2 linked regions of the Ovis aries genome follow. Each later gene encodes a partner of the first gene's protein in a complex. Links are inferred from orthologs where the notes say so. Each region holds a gene or a part of one and is shown on either strand. Other genes may lie near its edges.

Region 1 (3,520 bases):
GAAAGAATGAGTGAGTGAAAGTCGCTCAGTTGTGTCCAACTCTTTGCAACCCCATGGACTGCAGCCTGCCAGACTCCTCTGTCCATGGGATTCTCCAGGCAAGAATACTGTAGTGGGTTGCCATTTTCTCCTCCAGGGGATCTTCCCAACCCAGGGATTGAACCCAGGTCTCCCACATTGCAGGTGGATTATGGAAATAGAACACCACCCAAAGTGTCAACACCAGGCTTGACCCCCCTTTCATCAGTAATCATATGAAGTGGACCCAGTTAATCAGAGTTGATAACTCAGAGATAATAAATATGCAAGTGCTTTGAAAACTACAAATGGCCGTATAAATATTACAGAGGAATAAATCAGTGAAACGAATAGTAAGTATCCCTACCATATTCTAATATTCACCATATGGGTGATTATCACTGTAAAATTATCTCTTTCCAGGAAGCCTAAAGCTAATGGGAGAAAAATATCAACTGAGATATTTTTACACTGTGGTCTTTTACATTTCTTTCTCTATAAAGGAGCTGCATATTTGAATCTTACTCTGAATTACTAATTTTCTAAGAGTTTGAGGACTCATAAGGAGTAAAGATATTAATGCTGAAAGAATTAATCAAGGTATAAATAGTATTATTACTCCATTAGTAAGTTATTCCATCCAAATATTATAAAGTTTTCTGCTTGTTCTTATCTGAAAGCAGAGCAAGAAAATGGATAAATATTCTTTAACCTTTTTCAACTGTGATTCCATCTTCAGACACTCCTCCTTCTTCTGCTCCAAAGCAATTTCTAGAGTCTTAAGCCGTGAGTCCTTTTTCAGTCCTGAGGAAGCCAGGGACGAGGCATGTTCTTTCAGATCCAAGAGTGAAGCCTAAAAGAAGCAACGCATATCTAGAATAAACACTATTTAGTAACCAAATGGAGACTGAACTTCTTAAATTTATTTTCCTGGTGGTTTCTAGTTTCTCTCCATTACCATAGACTGACATATTTCCAAGAACACAAAATATAAAACAGCAGCATTACCTCTGGCTTTCAAGTCCTAACCGAACAAAATGAATCCCCAAGAAAGGCCGACTGAATCGTGACTTAAGGAGTTCTAGCAATACATATCCATCCTCACAAAATAAATGGAAGAAGGTCAAGCTCTGTGGATATAAGCAGTCGACCTTAGTGGCCACGCTCATGTTTCTCTTTTAGAAGGAATATTCTATTAGAAACTTCAATTTCTATACATTTCTATTCTCCCTAAAGGTATTAAAAAGAAAACTCTGAGAATGTCCCTAAAGCTCATGACCATCTGATCATGAGGCATTAGGCACTTCTGCTGTTCAGGCGGCATACACGAGGTTCTCCGGAAGTGAGATGGAAATATATGAAGGCACCTATCTGGTCAAGAGTCGTGTAAGGTTTCCCTGCTGGTGTTGAGGTGATGCCTAAGAGTGGCTGTAAACAGACTCCTCCTAGTGCATATTCCCTCCATCTGTCACCTTTCTTACCAATGGCACGACATTTCTCCAAATGTACCTGGAGAAGTACTCTTATTTTGGAATCTACAAAGTGTCATTAACAAGTAAGAAACCAACTCCTGATAGCTGGAAGAGGTAGGAGGTAAGGCTTAGGAAATGAATCATTCCATCTAAGCTTCCTGAAACAGCGATGGCTCTAAGCAGATTCTGTAAACCTCCCACGAGACCCTTTCCAGCATGCGTTATGTCCACACCAGCAGCATGCACACAGTGTGCTGACTAAGCAGATCACGCACTCCCCTGGGGGGATGCCGACCTCCTTCTCTGAGAGGTCGCCCTGCAGCACGCTGACTTTCTCCTTCAGGTCTTTAAGGTCTTTCTTGTAGTTGTCAATTTCCTCCTGCTTTTCCCGCTCATCTCGGTCGCGCTGCTCCTTTAAGCGTTCAATCGTCCGCTCCTGTTAAGAGAGGACATCAGTGCATAGAAAATTCCTTTCTACTTCTACTTCATGACTACAATTCAGTTGTGAGCTCATGCAGTTTCACACTTCCATCCTCCACTTAAAGAAGACAGTGATAGGTCATTAATAATTTACTTTTTAAAGAATCCATCCTTTCTGCCTATCTTGCTGTAACACACATCTGGCTTTGTTCTTTTGATTCCCTTAGGTTTCTTTCCCAGTATTCTTAATTAGTATTAGATACCACTAAAGTATTCTTTCGAATAATCTTGTTTATTCAATTCCCAAGTAACAAAAAACTTAACATGTATATATGCCCTAAGGACCATAAGTACCAAATATTTCTTCTCTTATATATAATTCACATGTTGCTACAAAGCAATGGAAACAATTCCCACACCAAAGAGGAAGAGGTTGGAGAGATTATGATTTGTTGAGCTTAAGCATCAAGAAAGATAAAGAAAAAAGAAACCATTAAAACTTCTGTCAACAGATACTCAGGAAGTTTGAAAGCTGAAGCAATTTAAGTATATTTCTGGGTATTATTTCTGAATAGATTTGGGGATCAAGCCATGATCCCTGGGCAGGCAGCTTGAAGCATTCTGCATCCAAGAGGCTTAAGGAACAGTAACTGTATTCCTTAAATTTAAAAAAAAATTCCAATTAAAATGCCCCACCAAGAGTCTTTAAACCTTTTCCAAGACATTAACACTTGTCACACTGGACTACTTCTTTATTTACTCAATCATACCTGAAAAAACTAGGTTTGCTCACGAAAGTGAAGTTACTCAGTCGTGTCCAACTCTTTGTGACCCCATGGACTGTAGCCTACCAAGCTCCTCTGTCCATGGGATTCTCCAGGCAAGAATACTGGAGTGGGCTGCCATTTCCTTCTCCAGGGTGTCTTCCCGACCCAGGGATCAAACCCGGGTTTCCTGCATTGGAGGCAGACGCTTTAACCTCTGAGCCACCAATGAAATGGCAAGGCCACAACTTGAAAAACAGCAAGTACACTGTATTAAAAACTAAAGCCTGTGAAGACAAGAGGTCCCAGCACGGCACAGTGAGAGGACTAACGATGCCTCTCAATGGTCAGGGTCTGACATGCCCGCCTGACCAACGCCAGCTGATCATACAATCACAAGGGGCGTTTCTGAGAGAGCAGCACTGACACACACACTACCCGCGTACCGCAGACAGCCAGCGGGGAGCTGCCACACAGCACAGGGCTCAGCTTGGCTCTGTGCTGAGCCAGCGGGGCGGGTGGGGAGTGGGGACGGCAGCGTGCGAGGAGGCTCAAGTCGGGGGGCGTATACGTATACATTTAGCTCACTTTGTTGCACAGCAGAAACTAATAAAACACTGTAAAGCAATTATACTCCAATCCTATAATTAATTAAAATATTATTCAAATAAAAAAAGTTTGTCTTCAGCAGACAGTCAACAGGCAGCACATGGCTGATTCTCTAGAAACTTTAGCCCCTGCCCTCCAGCATGGACTCCACCCTGCCCAACAACAGATGCTTAAACTACCACCAATAAAATGAATCTTCTTTCCCTCTACTCTCAGCAGTACGGGCAGCTCTTCTCC
Region 2 (3,520 bases), about 26 Mb from region 1:
ACAGTTTGTCTGTCCTCACCAGGCTGTCAAGAGAGTCATTGGAGATAACTAAAGGAAAGAGCTTTGCAGGCTATAAGGCACAATCCAAGCATGTGTGATCCATGGTGCCTTCAACAATCCTAATTTTTCCTGTAGGTTCTAGAACCTCGTTTTAACGTAGAAACGATGGCTCAGTTACTGAACATCCCACCAAGTAAGACCCTGTTGCGAAGACATCTGGCCACTCACTTCAACCTTCTGATCGGTGCAGAGGCCCAGCACCAGAAGCGGGACGCCATGGAGTTACCAGATTATGTGCTTCTAACCGCGACCGCCAAAGTGAAGGTTGGTTCAAGCTCCCACCATTTTATAATTGCCTATAGCAAAGACTCAGTCTTGGCTCTTACCTGGCTATCCCATTTTCTTAGGTTTTCTAAGTTTTGTGAATGGGTTGAAGGTAAATGATTCTTCAAGAGTAGTTAGGAAAATGGATTTTTGAAGGCTTCCTTCTGGAGGGATCTTTGCTCAAATCACTTATTTTATTAGAGTAAACAGGAGTAAAGAATATGATGTTGGCATCTACCACTGATTTTTTTGCCAATGCGGAAAGTCCATGTCTTGGGTCCAATATTGATTGCTGTTATCCTGTGGATAAATCAAGCATAAGAGGAGGATTTTTTTTTCTCATAAATAACCAGACTTGCAAGTTAGGAAAGGATACTCAAGCAGTGATTCAAGGTAGACCAGCACAGAGTAGAAATCTTCAGATTTACCTGGATTCATGGATCATACCAAGTTCAGATCACTTTTTATTTTTTAAATCACTCTTCTGTGAACTCTTCTGAGTCTGTTATATCAATTAAATTAATGTGAAGATTGGGTTTATCAGTTCCTCCACAAACATGGCTCCTCCATGAACCCCTTTTAAAAGAAAAGAAAAAAAAAAAACACTCCCCCTACCCACTCAATACTTTCTCTTTAGCTCCCCTTCTCCCTTAAAAAAAAAAAGTGTCAGATTTGAAACCTCTGAAAGAGTCTGTTCTATATAAATTCTCAACATCAGCATCTCCTTGAAATACAGTCTCAGGTGCTATCCAGTGAAAAGATGGACTTTTTTCTTCTCTTAAAGTTTTCTCTCTGAAAATGAGGGCTTCTTTTGGCAGTTACTGGTATGGATAATCATAGTCTCACTCAAAAAGAAAATACAGTAACGGCTCTTTCCTCTTTTTGACCTTGGAAAATTGGATTCAGCCCTGAGAAATCTCATTGCATTAAGGTCAGTCACAATTAAGGCTCTTTGCTTTTCACAGTGACTACCCAGCTAGTGATGTGAATAAGGAGAACAAGCTTAATTTTCTGAGATTCATAATGAGGATCATTTATCATATTTGGGTGTTAATCATATGCTTGAGATGTCTTTGTTTTCCTTATACCCACTCAGTCATCAAATTGCATTTCTTGGTGGTGTGAATACTTAAATTATATGTGTTACTGGTCCTCTGTCATGTGAATTTTATCAAGTCCCTGGCTGTTCTTGTTTTTCTTTTAAAGCCAAAGAAGCTTACCTTCAGCAATTTTGGGAACCTGAGAAAGAAGAAACAGGAAGATGGGGAGGAATATGTTTGTCCGATGGAGTTGGGACAGGCATCAGGAGGGACATCTAAGAAAGGATTTAAGCCTGGTTTGGATGTACGCCTGTATGATGAGGATGACCTGGACCGATTAGAGCAGGTAAACCTAACACCATAGGCCTGTTTCAAAGTTCTTTCACTATTAAAACACTACGTTAAAACTTTGTGTGCTGTCTACTAACTAAAGATGTTTTCCTCAAATACCTAATAATAAAGATAATAGTAAGATAATAGCAAGCACTTACAGATTGTTTGCTATATCCCAGGTACTATCCTAAGCACATTACATGTATTAATGTTCAGGGTATCCTAAAACATAGGGAGCATTGTTATTCCCATTTTAGAGATAAGGAAACTGAAGCACAGAATGGTTTAGTAACTTCAGACAGAAGAGCTGGTAGAATTGCTGGGATGCCAAGCTGGCTTCAAAGCTTGTACTATTTACCTGTGTTATGCCTATCTCAGTATTAAGGAAATCTACATACTAAAACAAGTCAGGAATGGACACCTCTTACTCCTTAGCCTTTTCAGTATCAGGTCACGCATCTGAGTATTGCTTTCAAATGAATATTCTTTGGTGCCATTGTCAACATCAGAGCTTTGGGCTCAATGTGCCAGCAAAGTGTTTTTCTTCTTGTTTTTAATGTCCAGTTACAGTCGTAGGAGGAGATGGCTTCGGAAGTATTCTGTTGCTCCCACCCCATTCAGTGCCACTTGCGTTGTTTCTTCTTAGACTTGTGTTCATTTTGCTGCATTTTTCTTGAAATTGTGCAAATGAATGTCATGTCGTGGTGTGTTCATTGCAGATGGAAGACTCAGAAGGGACAGTGAGACAGATAGGTGCATTCTCTGAGGGCATCAACAACCTAACTGTAAGTTGTAAAATGAATTTCAAATGTTCTAAGAATAAGCTTGACAGTCACCCCAAGGGGGACTGCCTGTATAGTGGAGAGCTCAAGGTGCCTGGTGTGTGTGACTCCCACCTCCTTGTCTTCCAGCACATGTTAAAGGAAGATGACATGTTTAAAGATTTTGCTGCCCGTTCCCCCAGTGCCAGCATCACCGATGAAGACTCGAACGTCTGACCATAGCACCTGGATGAGAGCTGGGAGCCCTTCATCTTTGTTCCACTTTATTCCTCAGACACTCACAGTATCTACAGCAAGCCACAGACTGTGTATTGTTTATCATTCCCACTTCTCATGTGGAAGTGGAGATGGAAAGCAGGGACTAGGTGCTGATTCTAAAGTTGCCATGACAATTGAGACACTGGTGAATGAGAGTATAATTGTTTCTCCTCTATTTAATGTAAAAAAAAAATCTGTGATATATTATATTTAAAGTGTTGCATTTAATATGAGTATTTTACCATAGTCTTTCCATCCACATTCACAGCATGGAGGATTTGGGAAGCAGTGACCAGTATGTGAATGATTTTTGTCACGTCGATGTGATAGCACTGCGGCCCTTGAAGCAGGATGTTACATGCTTTTGAAATCAAATTGTGGAATTTCTTAGGCATTCAGTGTGCCCACTATATGCCAGCCACACCTCCACTTGCCTCTTATTGTCCTATTTTTATATATTTTTCTAAAATATATGTATATACTTAGTACATAGAAAATAGAACTTTTATTTTGTAACATAAGGAAGATGGTAAAAAGATCACGTGAAAAAAATACAATGATCAAAATTTTTGTATACCAGCTGTTTCTTGGAGAGGTCCAATGATCTTTCTTTCCCACAAACTGAATTCTAATGATGCTGATCATTCAGACTAAATTAACATATGTGAAATATCCCTTCTTTGATGACACCCCACAAAATTATTGAACAGCTTTTTAGAATTTCAGCCTTAGTCTTGGATCCTCTTAACTCATAAGGAAGAACCTGAGGGACATTTTAAGTGC

What was found.
Region 2: ERC1 (region 1) and PPFIBP1 share a complex: the UniProt entries of both Homo sapiens proteins name them as parts of the cortical microtubule stabilization complex. The link is inferred for Ovis aries from reciprocal best matches to the Homo sapiens genes ERC1 and PPFIBP1.

The regions. Positions count from the first base shown.
Region 1 is NC_056056.1:213,714,666-213,718,185, reverse strand, and holds part of ERC1 (ELKS/Rab6-interacting/CAST family member 1), read right to left. Parts: intron 1,927-3,520; coding exon 1,786-1,926; intron 872-1,785; coding exon 731-871; intron 1-730. UniProt on the Homo sapiens protein: Regulatory subunit of the IKK complex. Probably recruits IkappaBalpha/NFKBIA to the complex. May be involved in the organization of the cytomatrix at the nerve terminals active zone (CAZ) which regulates neurotransmitter release.
Region 2 is NC_056056.1:187,715,173-187,718,692, reverse strand, and holds part of PPFIBP1 (liprin-beta-1), read left to right. Parts: intron 1-135; coding exon 136-324; intron 325-1,530; coding exon 1,531-1,710; intron 1,711-2,416; coding exon 2,417-2,695; 3' UTR 2,696-3,520. UniProt on the Homo sapiens protein: May regulate the disassembly of focal adhesions. Did not bind receptor-like tyrosine phosphatases type 2A.